3 linked regions of the Macaca mulatta genome follow. The protein of the gene in region 1 purifies or fractionates together with the protein of each later gene. This does not show direct contact. Links are inferred from orthologs where the notes say so. Each region holds a gene or a part of one and is shown in the gene's direction. Other genes may lie near its edges. The genes, in order: BCAS2, CDC5L and PRPF19.

What was found.
Region 2: the proteins of BCAS2 (region 1) and CDC5L purify together in Homo sapiens (co-immunoprecipitation; 8 studies listed by BioGRID and IntAct, with this or other methods). This does not show direct contact. The link is inferred for Macaca mulatta from reciprocal best matches to the Homo sapiens genes BCAS2 and CDC5L.
Region 3: the proteins of BCAS2 (region 1) and PRPF19 purify together in Homo sapiens (co-immunoprecipitation; 10 studies listed by BioGRID and IntAct, counting the BioPlex papers as one, with this or other methods). This does not show direct contact. The link is inferred for Macaca mulatta from reciprocal best matches to the Homo sapiens genes BCAS2 and PRPF19.

What each region holds. Positions count from the first base shown.
Region 1 is NC_133406.1:125,681,479-125,685,781, forward strand, and holds part of BCAS2 (pre-mRNA-splicing factor SPF27), read left to right. Parts: intron 1-2,266; coding exon 2,267-2,317; intron 2,318-3,251; coding exon 3,252-3,332; intron 3,333-4,303. UniProt on the Homo sapiens protein: Required for pre-mRNA splicing as component of the activated spliceosome. Component of the PRP19-CDC5L complex that forms an integral part of the spliceosome and is required for activating pre-mRNA splicing.
Region 2 is NC_133409.1:137,688,179-137,693,477, reverse strand, and holds part of CDC5L (cell division cycle 5-like protein), read left to right. Parts: intron 1-369; coding exon 370-518; intron 519-3,560; coding exon 3,561-3,723; intron 3,724-5,299.
Region 3 is NC_133419.1:13,165,538-13,171,324, forward strand, and holds the start of PRPF19 (pre-mRNA-processing factor 19), read left to right. Parts: upstream 1-1,809; 5' UTR 1,810-2,010; coding exon 2,011-2,029; intron 2,030-2,942; exon of another isoform or gene 2,943-3,030; intron 3,031-4,490; coding exon 4,491-4,640; intron 4,641-4,816; coding exon 4,817-4,893; intron 4,894-5,474; coding exon 5,475-5,616; intron 5,617-5,699; coding exon 5,700-5,773; intron 5,774-5,787. UniProt on the Homo sapiens protein: Ubiquitin-protein ligase which is a core component of several complexes mainly involved pre-mRNA splicing and DNA repair. Required for pre-mRNA splicing as component of the spliceosome.

The sequences.
Region 1 (4,303 bases):
CTCAGCCTCCAGAGTAGGTGGGATTATAGATACACGCCACCACGCCTGGCTGATTTTTGTATTTTTTGTAGAGACGGGGTTTCACCATGTTGACCAGGCTGGTCTCAAGCTCCTGGCCTCAAGTGATCCTCCAGCATCACCCTCTCAAAGTGCTGGGATTGTAGGTGTGAGCACCTGACTGGGCCAGGCTTTTTAACATGGTATTCAAGGCCTTTTCCTTACTCCCTCAACTGTAAACTTTTAACTCAACCCAAACTAGTCCTTTCTCTGGTGATTATCATAAATCCTGCCTCTGGGCGTTTACTTGCCCCTGACTTTACCTGTTCTACCCAAATTCAGCTTGTTTAGGGCCCAGCTCTAGTTCGCTTACTTGTCTTCTTCCCTGATTGAAATTCTGCTTCTAGTATTGTCTCCCTCTTCTGAGTAACTCTACACAGAATTACTGTGCACATCACTTGTTTTCCATTTAATCACAAAGTGCTCTATAGTGCTTAACATTCCCCTGAGCATATTTTGTCTCCTCCAAATTCAATGGACACTTCTCCAGAGGAGGTGTACTATATTTTATCAAAGTATATTTAAGAGGAAGGGTGGGAGAAGGGAGAAGACAAACTAAACTTTCAGGGAGAGCCAATTCAAAGGAAAGCTCCCTTGTTGGTGGGCAGAGTCTGGAATAGAGCACTAAAATCAATAGTCCTCAGCATGGAGTGATCGTCGAAGTCAAGGAAAGAGGGTTGACCTGAGGGAAAGCCTAGAGAGGCACAGCTGTTTAAAGACTGAGTCTTGAGAGAATTCCAACTAATGCAGGGAAACCAGTCAGTAGAGATAGGAGAATAACTCAGGTGAACAGCAGAAAATTTGAGTCACAAAAGCCAGGAAACAATATTAGATTTAGAGCAAGAACACATTAGGGCCAGATGTGGTTAAAATGGACCCTATAGGTGATTGATCCACTGCCTTAAGAGGAAATTGATATGATGTGGAATTATATCTCAATAAAGCTGTTACTTAAACTTAAAAAAGATTCAAATCTGTTTTATTACTTCTCTGAAATAATTATATGGTACCCTGTATTATTGAACTTTTCTCCTGTGCTAGTTACAGCTGACCTGGACTGGTATCTGTTTTTTATTTTGCTGCGAATAGGTTACATGCAAATATGGACTGATATCTCAAATCTACAACAGTTTTCTTTTTCTCACCTCTCTCTAGTTAGCAGTGGACAGGAGGAGAGAATGACAGGATAAATGTATATGAAGAAATATAGAGATAAAAGGGGGTTGAGAAATAATAAGTGGATATAATCAGATATATTCCATCTTCTCTGTGACAAGAAGTCATGACAGTTAAAGAAGTGACAAAAGACTGTGTGTGATGTCTCACGCATGTAATTCCAACACTTTGAAGGCCAAGGTGGGGAGACTGCTTGAGCCCAGGAGTTCAAGACCAGCCCAGACAACACGGTGAAACCCTGTCTCTACAAAAAAATAACAAAAATTAGCCGGGCATGGTGGCTTATGCCTGTAATCCGAACTACTTTGAAGGCCTGAAGTGGGAGGATCGATTGAGCCCAGGAGGTTGAGGCTGCCATGATTATGCAGCTACACTCCAGCTTGGGCAACAGTAGAGCAAGACTCTGTCCAAAAAAAAAAAAGCCAGGTGCAGTGGCTCACGCCTGTAATCCCAGCACTTTGGGAGACCGAGGTGGATGGATTGCTTGTGGTCAGGAGTTCAAGACCAGCCTGGCCAACGTAGTGAAACCCCATCTCTGCTAAAAAAAAAAAAAAAATACAAAAATTAGCAAGGCATGGCAGTGCACGCCTGTAATCCCAGCTACTTGGGACGCTGAGGCAGGAGAATTGCTTGAACCAGGAGGCAGAGGCTGCAGTGAGCTGAGATCACACTACTTCACTCCAGCCTGGGCAACAGAATGAGACTGTCTCATAAGAAAAGCAACCTAAGTACTCAAAGTATCAGGCAGGGCATGGTAATTCCAGCAGTTTGGGAAGCCAAGGTGGGAGGATTGCGGCTCCTCGGGAGGCTGAGGCAGGAGGATTACTTGATCTTGGGAGGTGAAGGCTGCAGTGAGCCATGATCACACCACTGCATTCCAGCATGGGTGATAGTCCTTGATTATGGAGTGTCCAACATAGTTCTTGGCACAGAGCTCCAGAAATACGATTTTTAGCAAAAAAACTTGAAAAAGTTCACTTTTAATTGGTACTATTTTAATGTATTTAAATCTGATTTTCCTCTTTTCCTTCAGAAATCTAGTTCATATGATTGAACACGCACAGAAAGAACTTCAGAAATTAAGGTAAATTGTTTTTTCCTATTACAGAATGAACTTTAAGTGAACCTTTAATGAATAGAAAATAGGAGGAAAAAGAAAGCAATGAGACTGCAGCCAGGTGAAAGTAAACAATTGATCCACTCTCTTTGTTCAACATCTGGCACTGGGTTTGCCCTACCTAAGTAGACGAGTAATAGGCCTGAGGTCTGAAAACATCTCTGCCACTTGTAGCTTGCAAGTCTGCAAACATGGAAAGATGCTTTTAGAGGGGGAGAAAGTTGGAGAATAACACATATAATCTGATTTTTAAGACCGATTTCGGCCGGGCGCGGTGGCTCAAGCCTGTAATCCCAGCACTTTGGGAGGCCGAGACGGGTGGAACACGAGGTCAGGAGATCGAGACCATCCTGGCTAACACAATGAAACCCCGTCTCCACTAAAAATACAAAAAAAATTAGCCAGGCATGGTGGCGGCGCCTGTAGTCCCAGCTACTCGGGAGGCTGAGGCAGGAGAATGGCGGGAACCCGGGAGGCGGAGCTTGCAGTGAGCCGAGATCGCGCCACTGCACTCCAGCCTGGGTGACAGAGCCAGACTCCGTCTCAAAAAAAAAAAAAAAGACCGATTTCTACACACACATATAGGAAAGCCTGGAAGGACACCCAGCAAAAACTCAACAGGAGTTATCAGGAAAAAGGAGACATGCATGGGAAGAGGGACTTGAGACTTGTAATCTGTGTGTGCTCGTGTGTGTGTGTGTGTGTGTGATTTCTCACAATGAGCATGTTTTATGAAACTTGTAATCAAAAAATAATTAGAAGAACGGTAATTTCTACAGTTAGCCTATAACTGTACATGATATTGTTCTCATGGGATTAAGATATTCTCTTGTGTTACAGAGTTTTCTGTTGATTTTTGGTCTTACATTAAAATGTCATTAGGTTGTATAATTTTTTACAGAAAACATATTCAAGATTTAAACTGGCAGAGAAAGAACATGCAGCTCACAGCTGGATCTAAATTGAGAGAAATGGAGTCAAAGTGAGTATCTATAATTCCATCATCTTTTAAATTGTTTAGCCCAGTCTAAGGTCGATTCAATAATATGATTCAAATAGCATTCATGTGGGATGCCATAGGTGTCAAAGAAAATGCTGTTTTCTGAATTCACCCTTCACTGTCTCTGCCTTTCTGTAAGGTGTTAAAGAGAACTATAAACGAGAATTGAACCATTGGTGAAGGATCCTTTGCTAAATTGAACCACTGCTAAAGGATTCTGGTCTTAGAATACCCTGTTTTTAGTCTAGTATTTTTGGCCTTGAATAGAATTCTACCTTTATTCTCCTTTTAAATGGAAAAAAAAAATAGCCAGCTACAGTGGCACATGCCTGTAGTCCCAGCTACTGTGGAGGCTGAGGCAGGAGGATTGCTTAGCCTGGGAGGTTGAAGCTGCAGTGAGCCATAATCGCACCAATGCACTCCAGCCTGGGCAACAGAGTGAGACCTCGTCTTAAAAAAAAAAAGGAAAAAAATTAATTTTATAAAATATTGTAGGCAGGGAGATTTCATACTTTTCTTGATAATTTGTTTGTACCTCAGGTTTATACATTTTAAAAAATGTTCTTTTACATACACACGTATGCCTTTATACAGTATCTTGAATATTTGTGTCATTTCTCTCTTCTTTTTTGCTTTCCCATTCCCTTTGTCCCTTCATTACTCAAGTTATTCTCCTTGTTCTACCATCTCCATGTACGTGTTATCAGTCTCTTTGGTACCCTTTCATGTTTTTTCCTCAATTTAATAAACTGTTGCCTCTTTCCTTTTTGTTGATTAAATTAGATACTGTCTTCATCACTCTTTCCTATTTCTTCTGGTTTACAAGTTCTCTCATCTGTTTCTAATTTGCTTTTTTATTAGTTGAACTTTTGAGATAATTGTAGATTCACATGCAGTTGTAAGAAATAATACAGAGAGCCAGGTGTGGTGACTCACATTGTAATCCTAGTGCC
Region 2 (5,299 bases), on another chromosome or scaffold:
TTCAGACATTTGGCCTAAGCTCACACTGGGAAATTTGAATTCTTATATTTCACGATTATAGAGAGGTTTGGCACAGGTAATAGGAGAAGTTTTTGGGTAATAGTAATTTCATATGTGAGGCCACAAAAGTGCACCTCTACACATAAAACTTTATTTGATATATAAAACTTCTGATGTGATGTGTTAGATTGATAGAAGGAATGGAAACATTGAAATCTGACATGACTGGTATTCATTTTCTCTGTTGGTTTTCATTGAGAAAATGAGTAAGAATTCTGCCTGCTTCAAGATTTATATAGTAGGACCAGAAGAGATTCTGCAAGCCTGTCTAAACTGTTAACCGTGCTTCTTTGCCTGCTTGTTTATCAGGAAGCCCAGAACCTCATGGCCCTCACCAATGTGGACACCCCATTAAAAGGTGGACTTAATACCCCGTTGCATGAGAGTGACTTCTCAGGTGTAACTCCACAGCGGCAGGTTGTACAGACTCCAAACACAGTTCTCTCTACTCCATTCAGGTATTGTAAATGAACATGTTTTTTATTTTAGAAAAACATGAATTCAAGGACTTAGCATGTTTGCTTTAGTAATGTTTATGGAGAGCTAATACTTATTGTGTTGAGTTTTCCTCTTTGATTTCTTCTTCACAGTAATAAATGATAGTGTCTGGGAAATGGTTAAATACTGTGGAGTGCCTCTCCCTTTTTTTTTTTTAAAGATGGAGTCTCGCTCTGCCACCCAGGCTGGAGTGCAGTAGCACGATCTCAGCTTACGGAACCTATCTGCCTCCCGGGTTCAAGCGATTCTCATGCCTCAGCCTCCCAAGTAGCTGGGATTACAGGCGTCTGCCACCACACCTGTCTAATTGGAGTGTCCTTTTGCAAAACTTCGGATCCTATCACGTTATTTTTGAATACTTTGTGTTTGATTTTAGAGTAGATTGATTCATTTTTAATGATTACTTTGTGAATTTTATTAAAATTGTAATCCTTTTATGTATTGCTTTCCCTCCAGCATTTTATTATGAAAATTTCAGGCATTTAGAAAGGTTGAAAGAATGTGTGGAAGTTATCAGTATTGAAATGGAGTCACTTAATGTTACATTTTAATGAAAAAGGAACCCTCATGCATATATGCCCATGACAGAAATTATTCCAGGGATCTTCTGAAAACCACACAAATTCCAGATAAGTTGCTTCTGTGAAGATGTTGCCCTACCAACAGCCAGTACAGGTTGAGCATCCCAAATCTGAAAATCCAGAAGGCTCCAAAATCCAAATTTTTTTTTTTTGAGACGGAGTTTCGCTCTTGTTGCCCAGACTAGAGTGCAATGGTGTGAACTTGGCTCATCACAACCTCTGCCTCCTAGGTTCAAGCAATTCTCCTGCCTCGGGCTCCCGAGTAGCTGGGATTACAGTCTTGCGCCGCTGTGCCCGGCTAATTTTGTATTTTTAGTAGAGATGGGGTTTCTCCATGATGGTCAGGCTGGTCTCGAACTCCTGACCTCAGGTAATCCACCCACCTCAGCCTCCCAAAGTGCTGGCATTACAGGTTTGAGCCACTGTGCCCGGCCTAAATCCAGACTTTTTGAGCACCAATATGACACTCAAAGGAAATGCGCATTGAAACGTTTCAGATTTCAAATTTCCTGATTTGCCATGCTCAACCAGTAAGTATAATGGAATTATCCCCAAATCTGAAAAAAAATCCCGTATCTAAAACTCTTCTGGTCCCCCATTTCAGATAAAGGATACTGTTATGTATACCGGCAATGAAAACAAATGCCACCTCCTGTGATTAAGTCCCTGTAACCAATGGTCTTTGTTTCAAAACAGTTTACGTAGACTCCTCCCTTGTATCTTTAAAAACTTCTCCTTGCCCCAGCACTCTCAGGTATACCTATGGTCTGTTATAGCACACATATCCCACATTGTAATCCCTTGCTGTTCCCAAATAAACTCTGTTTTGGAGACCCAGTCTCTCACCTGTTGAAGTTGACAAATGGTAAAGTGAACATCCATATACCTACCACTTAGATTCTAAGATCGTTAATATTTTACTGTATCTGCTTTATTGCATATCCATCCACCAATCCATCATATTTTTTAATGAGTTTCAAAGTAACTTGCAGATATCAGTTTGCTTGATCCCTAAACACTTCCACATGCATTAACTGGAATTCAGTATTTCTTTATAACTCTTTTGCTTAGTTTTAAGCTGCTGTTTTTTAAGAAGAATCTTTAAAATACAAATGTTATGGAAGCATGTAGTAGTAAAATGGAATTGGAACTTACAGTGGTTGGATATATTTGGGGTTTACTTTGAATTTTAAGTGTTAAGATATGTCCTCCTACTGGTTATTTAGTAGAGAAAGCACTTCAGGCTATTACAGGTGTCATGACAGCAGAACCAAGAAGCATTGACAGCCAGTCGTAGACATTTAACACTTCTTGAGTGTCTTATAAGAGAGCCTAATACCTCACTTCCTATGTTTAGTTGGCCCTCTGTATCTGAGGGTTCCACATTTGTGGATTCAACCAACTGTGGATAAAAAATATTCTAAAAAACTCAGTACAACAATAAAAAATAACACAAATAAAAATACAATATAACAACAATTTATATAGCGTTTACATTGTATTGGGTATTATAAGTAACCTAGAGATGATTTAAAAGTACATGGGAAGGTGTGCATACGTTATATGCAAATACGATGCCGTTTTGTATCAGGGACTTGAGTGTCTGCAGATTTTGGTCCTGGAACTAATCCGCCGATCCCCTGTGAATACTTAGGGACAACTGTATGTCTTGTCTCTCACCTCGATTGTAAAATCCTTGGGGGCGGGAACCATGTCTTATGTGATAACACCTTACTTACCAGGAATAGCTGTCTGGCAGCGTCACCATTCTGCAACACACCAATATACAGGAAATAGGCAACCAGGGGAAAAAAAGGCTTTGAATATTTAAAGTATAGGTTGCTGCAGATTCTGTGGATCTTATTCCTAGGAGAATCTCTTAGGCCTCCCTCAGGAACTTACTCATGTTTACATGTGATTCCAAAAGTGTGGTGTTTGGTTTCTAAACAAAATGTAAAAGGAGGAACTATTTAAAGTGTGTACTTTGGTAATAATGACAGTGACAATGATGTGAGAACCAACAGCTTGATAGGGAGGGTAGGAGACAAATATACACCAAACTCGAAGAGTCATCTGGGGTCATTGAGTGTGGTGGCCCACCTCCCTGCCCGCTGCATGTTCCTAGCCGCCCTAATGTGCCAAGAAAAAGTGGAAATAATGTTTAGTGGGCGCAGTTTAGGAAGGCAAGAAAATATCAAATATAGTGATTATTTTAAGTCAATAAAATAAAAATACCATGCTAGCTAGACCAAACATTGATTTTAACCTAGAGATCCTAACAAAACCAGCTAGACAGAATTTCTGAAATCTTTATTCCTTTTTTTTCTATATTTCCTGTGAAATAATTTATGTGAAAAACATTTGAAAGCACAATCTAAATATAAGTGGCACTTCTGTTAATTGGGATTCCTGTCTTTCTAGGACTCCTTCTAATGGAGCTGAAGGGCTGACTCCCCGGAGTGGAACAACTCCCAAACCGGTTATTAACTCTACCCCGGGTAGAACTCCTCTTCGAGACAAGTTAAACATTAATCCTGAGGATGGAATGGCAGACTATAGTGATCCCTCTTATGTGAAGCAGATGGTAAATGTCAATTCCCTTTTAATACTCTTAAATTTTTTTTTAATATCTCATGGGTGCCAAATTAAAATTTCTCCTGTTAGTGCATATCACGTATACCTTAAGAATCTATACACCTGTGGATGCCAGAAAAAGAGAATGATCTGTAAGACTTGATGAAAGGGAATATTTTGGGCTCAAAACCCATCTTTCTTTATGCTTACTAGGTTTGTGAATATTGATGCTTGTTGTTGATTTCACTGAAGTTTTCTTCAGCAAGGTGAGGTAGAAAGCTAATTGTAAAAGTTAAGTTTTGCTTCTGCCCGTGTTATTGCATTTATTACTTTGCTATTGGGCCTTATTACCTAATGCCACATAAATCATTGTGAAATTAAAAAGAAAAAAACTTCTAATTATACTGGCTTGTCTTCAGTTTAAAATTAATTCTAACTTCATATATATATTTGGTTGATTTATGTATGTTTCTTAAAGTTCAAATTGATATCAACTAAAGCCAACTCTGAATGGATACATAAGAATTAAACAGATTAAGAACCTCATGAGTGCGGAGTGTGCATTTGGACATTTGAGGGGATCTAAAGTTGAATATAGATGTCCTTTGTCCTGAGGAAATTTATATTCTGGGGAGATTGGCAGTACTAAACTAAGTCCAAAAATAATTGTAATATCAGAACAGAATAAGCCCTTTGAGTAAAGCCAATGTGCTTAGGGTAGTTAAAGAAGGGAATAATCACATTTGTTGGGTAACAGGAAAGCCTTATTGGAAGAGGTATGTTCCGAAGGAGGGTGGGGGCTGTCCCAGATGGAGACTACAATATGAGTAAGCACGGAGGATGTTTTAGACATAGCAACTCATCTGTTCCTCACACCTGGTACATGTCAGTACTGAGGATGGACTGGAAAACCTCTGGGTACCAGGAGGGTTTTTTGGGAACCAGGACTCTACTTTCTTTCGTCTGCATGGGATTTAGTATTTTTATTAACAATAAACATATACATACAAATTCAAGTATCTTTCAGAGTGGGTTTTATTAGTCCAAGGACAGACTAACTTTTGAACCTGTTCTTTTCATTTGCTGTTAACTTTCGGTGTCAGAAATGTGTTCCCTCAAATGAAAATTATAGTGGTCTTTTTTTCTGCCCTGGCCTCAAACCTCCTGTTGGAATATCCCAGAGTATCTTCAGTGATCACAAGTGAAAGTGTTTGATTGGTCTTAATGTTGGGAAGAAGAGGGGATAGAAAATAAACAAAAGCCTTGTCTTAGCTCTGAAGTCAGGATTATTTTTCTAGAATTAATATTAGGCTGATTTTTTTTGAGACTTTTTTTTCTCTGTCTATAATTTTTAATTTTTGTGGATACGTAGTAGGTGTATATGTTTATGGGGTATATGAGATATCTTGATACAGGCATGCATGTGTAATAATCACACCATGGAAAATGGGGTATGCATCCCCTCAAGCATTTAACCTTTGTGTTAGAAACCATCCAATTATTCTCTTAGTTATTTTAAATTGTACAGTTATTTTGACTAGACTGTTGTGCTATCAATTTTTAAGACTCATAAAATTCTGGTTGAA
Region 3 (5,787 bases), on another chromosome or scaffold:
TTTAGAATAGGGCTTGGCACATAGGAAGTACCCAATCAATATTTGTTGGATGAATGAAATGCCTGGGGAATAACATGAATCGATATTTCATTCAAAGCGGATCACTGGCTGCTCTGTGGAAAGTAGATTAGGAGGAGGAGGCCAGGCTGGAAGCAAGGAACAAGTGGCAAGCTACTTTGTTGGTGCAAGAGAGAGATGAAATGCCCTTTTGCATATTAACTCCTCATAAGAGTTCAGCGAGTTAGTTCTACCCCTGTCATCACTCCCTCTGTTTTACAGATGAGGAAACTAAGGCATAGAGAAGTTCATACAGTTAATCACCTGGGTGGTGCTAGGATTTGAGCACACAGTCTGACTTCAGAGTCCATGCTCTTGGCCACTATGCCATACTACCTTTTGTACCTGTAACTTTTATTTTTCTCTCCAAGCTTTTGCTTACATTGTTTCTCCTTCTGGAATGCCTTTCCTTCTCCTTCTCCTCTGAATACTGCCCACCTGTCAAAGTCCCTCTCACTCACACATCCTGTTCATCCTGCCCGTTTGTCTTGATACCTTATAGTCCACACCACATGTCTTTTGCATGATTCCTGAGAGTATCTTATCTTACAGATATCCACAAAGAATCATACACTATCTGAGCTGGAAGAGAAACAGAAAATACAAAATAAATTGATAAGAGGCCACTGGTTTGGACTGAGCTCTTGCGCTAGGCCTAACAGACCAAGCTAAAAAGAGTCCTGCCGAAGTTCCACCCCAATGAGCTGAAACTAAGATCTTTATGACCTTCTGAGAGAGAGTGTGTGTGTGCATGTGTGTTGGCGGGGAGAGCTAAATTCCCAAACAGGCAAGTTTTACATGGCATGATAAAGAAGTACCCTCCACTTTAACCTTTACAAGAAAAGTAATTTTGAGATTACCAAATGACCAATCCCATTTTTGTTCTGTTTCTGTTTTCCTCAGTCCTTTTCTGTCTAAAAAACCAAGCTCCCCTGTTCAGCTCATTGGAACAACCATTAGATTTTATAGTGTAAGGCGCTGCCCAATTTTATAGAATTGCACCCTAAGTCCCAGAGCTACTCTGGAGGCTGAGGCAGAAGGATCACTTGAGCCCAGGAGTTCCAGGATGCACCTGTGATAGCCATGATTGCTACGATTGCACCTGTGAATAGCCACTGCGTTCCAGCCTGGGCAACATTGCCAGAGTCCGTCTCTTAAAAACAAAAACAAAAACAAAACAAAACCAAAAAACAAAAACAAACAAAAAACTTTAAACTAAATTTGTTGTGATTTTGTCTTTTGACAAAGAAGAAAGGGCAGGGAAGCCAATGTGAATTGCCCCAAATCACAGAGCGAAACGGTAGTAGTCAGGACCAAAACGCTGTCTTAGCCGTTTTCTTAGTTCCTGTACCCATCTGCCTCTGTATTTTTAACACCAGGCCATCCAGCAGTGTCTCTTAAAGGGTGGCCCGAGAAACACCTGACTTAGAATAGCGTGGGGCGCAGTCTGTCTACGCAGATCCGAGGAATCTGCATTTTAACAATGGGAAATTGGGAAATTCTCGCGCACACCAAGGTTTCAAAGACCAGGGTCCCGTGACACAGTGCCGCACAGTTGTCAAAACAAGTGCTGTCCAATTGCTTTGGTTTTAAGTTCTCACTGCATCATGGGAAATGTAGTTTCGAGTCTCCTCTCTTCCGACGCCCCCGCCAATCCCCGGGCGCTTTACGGAACGAGCCGAGTCAATCCGGAAATAACCGAGTGTTCGTGGCGGGCCCTTTCCTGCCCGGCTGCATTCTGGGAAAGGTCTATTTCCGTTAGGTGCTGGAGGCAGTGGCGCGCGGCTGTCCCCATTCCCACGTGAAGCGCTACGCGAGCATCGCTCGACTGGCGGCTCCCAGCTCGCAGCTGAGCAGTCCCGGCAGCAGCGGGGGACCGGAAGTGGCTCGCGGAGGCTCAGAAGCCAGTCCCGGAGTCCGGCGTGTGGCGCCTGGGAGCGCGGCAACGGCGCCATGTCCCTAATCTGCTCCAGTGAGTGTTGCCTGCGGCCGAGCGCGGGTCGCAGGAGGCCGGAGAGCGGCGCGGGAGCGTGTGCGGGCCACTGCGGCGCCGGGGCCGGGGCCGGGGTGGAGGCGGGAATGGGGCGCTCCAGAGGCAGAGCGGCGGCCTGTCAGCCCCGGAGCCCTCCCCTCGGAGCGGGGTGCATTTGCGCAGTGCTCCGCAGTTTACATAGTGCCGGAGGTTTATTGTCGCAGGCATTACTGAGGCAGGTCGCCTCATTCTACCGAGTGGAAACAGGCCTGGACAGAGGGAGCTGGTGCAGGGGAAACAGCCTTGATGTAAGAGTCAGGAAACCCGAGGTCTTGTCCAGGGTCCGCCTCCTGTTGGCTTTGTGAATTGGCTTAAGGCTCTGTGCCTCGGTTTCCCCATCTGCAAAATTGAGAGCATTGCACTGGATATTTTGTGAGGCCTTGCTCGGATAGTCGCAGCTTTTGCAATTTGTAAAGGTCACATGATGAGTTAGAGGTAGGCAAGGCTGGCAGCTAGGTATATGGCTCCCAGCCTTACAGTGTATGACTAATTAAAAACAGCGCACATTTATAAAGCCCTTATTGGTTTACAACGCGCTTCCAAGTCTAGGATCTCATTTTATCCTCACAAGAATTCCCTAAAGGAGAAAAGATCCTGGTGTTGCAAATGAGGAGGCAAGGCTCAGGAAGAGCGGGGCTTATCTAAGAATGCGTAGCTAGTCAATGGCAGAGCTGGGTGACGTAGTTAGGTGACACGGAGTTTGGAGCCTGAATCCTTGCTTTTTCCATACCTTCCACTATCTTTCCCTTTGATATTTTATCATGACGTACATACGTTTTCCTTTCCCTTTTCGTTGTTTCATCAGATTACTCGTTTCCCCTCCCTTTTGCTATTCACCTCCGTCTCTTCTCAGAACCTGTACGTTGATCCAGAGAGGGGGAAGAAGGAAGGGAAATGATGGAAAAGGAATCCCTCACATTGAAGAAATTACAGCTCGCAAAGTACCTTCATATTCATTGTTTCCTTCCAGTCTTGGGAAAGCTCTCTTTTACGTTCCCCAGCACTATCTTTCCTGGCAGGGTTCACTCATTCGTTAGATGTTTACCGAGTGCCCCGGGGGCATCTGCATTGTACTGGAAGTGAGAGACCAGCTGTAATCCTTATCCTCAAGGGGCGCACAGTCTATGCAGGCAAGAGTGTAAATGATACCTCTATTGCGGGTTGTTGTGAACATGAATTACTGTACTGTATGCCTAGAATTGTGCTTGGCACATAGACATGTGCCATGTAAATATTTTTATTGTAATGATTGCCACTTTGCTCCTTGGAATCTTCCAGGTGATAAGTGTCTGCCTGTATCCTAATCAGTTGACTGGTAGCTGGCAGACGTCAATAGCTTCAGGATGGGGACTGGTCACCTAGAAAGACTAAAGGGTATTAGAAAGTTGGGATTTTCAGTCCTACCCCCCACTTACCTGGGGAACGAGAGGGGCTGAAGTTGTCACTAGTGACCAGTGATTTATTGAATCATGCCTTTGTAATGAAGTTTTCATAAAAATACAAAAGGGCAGGATTCAAAGAGCTTCTGTATAGCAGAACATGTGGGCGTTCCTGGAGGGTGGGGTGCCCAGGGAGGGCATGGGAAGCTCTGTACTCCTTCTCCCATACCTCATCCTATGCACCTCTTCATCTATACCCTTTGTAATATCCTTTATAATAAACTGGTCAACATAAGTGTTTCCCACAATTCTGTGAGTCACTGTTGAAAATTAATTGAACCCAAAAAGGGGGTCATGGGAACCCTGATTTACAGCTGGTAGATCAGAAGAACAGGTCAAACAACCTGGAGCTTGCGATTGGCATCTGAAGGGGTGGGGGAGTCTGGTGGGACTGAGACCTCAACCCGTGTGATCTGACACTATCTCCAGGTACCTGGTGTCAGAATTGAATTGGAGGACACCCGGATGGTCACATCTGAGGTCACAGAAGTATTTTGTTTTGTGAGAGAATAGGAGAAACTGAGTTTGTTATTCCTATATTCTCAGACTTTATGATTTCTTTGATAATCCCTCTGGAGCTATAGACTAAGATGGATGGAAGGGATTTGAATGGCTTCATGTGTGTCTCCATGTCATGGAGTAAACTGTATTCATAGAGTACACAATCATTGTTCAGATATTAGGTGGCGATAATGGACTGCTGTTCTCTAGGTGCTTGGCACATAGTAGTTGTTAATAATTATTTGTTGACTATCTGATTGTCAGGAGACTAAAGGAAAAGCTAGTTCCACAGCTGGAAAGCATTCTGGGGCCAGTACAGAACTGGCTTAGGGTCAGATGTCTTGCTTTTTGCTAGTTGATTGTGAGGATGCCTAGTCTTGTTGGGGCTAATAGCAGATGAGGAATCCTCTAGGCTCAAGATTGCCTTCACTCCAAGCTCACTGCCGGCCTTTTCTCTACAGTCTCTAATGAAGTGCCGGAGCACCCATGTGTGTCCCCTGTCTCTAATCATGTTTATGAGCGGCGGCTCATTGAGAAGTACATTGCAGAGAATGGTACCGACCCCATCAACAACCAGCCTCTCTCCGAGGAGCAGCTCATCGACATCAAAGGTGCCTATTGGCTGCCTTAGTCTAGGGCCATCTTAGCTCAGAGCCTGAGAGGATGGGAGGTGGTGCCAATGCACTGGAGGAGGAGATGGTGGGCTGTTTATGGCTAAAAGGAAAAGATGTGATGGCAGGGGAGGTCCCTGGGTTATGCTCTTCATACCTACTTTCCCTTTCGGCAGTTGCTCACCCAATCCGGCCCAAGCCTCCCTCAGCCACCAGCATCCCGGCCATTCTGAAAGCCTTGCAGGATGAGTGGGTGAGTTCCTGCAAGAGAATTAGCATCTTCCCCACTTGAAGAGAATGCATCGCTGAGTTAGGACTTGGGGGTGGGAAGGATGGAGAATTATTTAGATAATCATCATCAGGGTTTTGTGACATCAGGGTTTTGTTTTATTCTTTGTTGTATCCCCAGCACTGAGAGCGCCTGGTACGTAGTAGGTGCTCTAGAATTATGAACTGAATGATTGAATACATCCTGCAGGACTGTCTGGCACAGTGCCTGACACAAAGAGGGCAATCAATAAATAGCAGCAGCAGCAGTGTTGTTATCCACTTTTAGAGAGGTGACGGCATGACAGCTGGAATTTGCCAGTAAATTAGGGAAAGTAGGGATGGGAAAGAGCTGACTGCCACTCCTGTCTGTGTGCCCAGTGTTTGGCTTGGGGTAGGAGCTCAAGAGTGTCTGCTGGCATATTCATGGTGCTCGGATATTGTTTGGGTCACTGATACTGGTCTAGGCTGTGGGATAGGAGGCAGCATCCACTCCCCAAGAGCTGGCTCCACTGGGTGCTCCCTGCGCCCCCCGCCTCAGCTCACAGTAATATTTGCCTCTCCCAGGATGCAGTCATGCTGCACAGCTTCACTCTGCGCCAGCAGCTGCAGACAACCCGCCAAGAGTTGTCGCACGCTCTGTACCAGCACGATGCCGCCTGCCGTGTCATTGCCCGTCTCACCAAGGAAGTCACTGCTGCCCGAGAAGGTGCAGCCTGCCCCCTGCCATCCCCCACCCTGAGCTGGTTCTGCTTTGTAATATCCCATTTCTAACATCGTCTTTTCTCTCAGCTCTGGCTACCCTGAAACCACAGGCTGGTCTCATTGTGCCCCAGGCTGTGCCAAGTTCCCAACCAAGTGTTGTAGTAAGTGTCCCCCT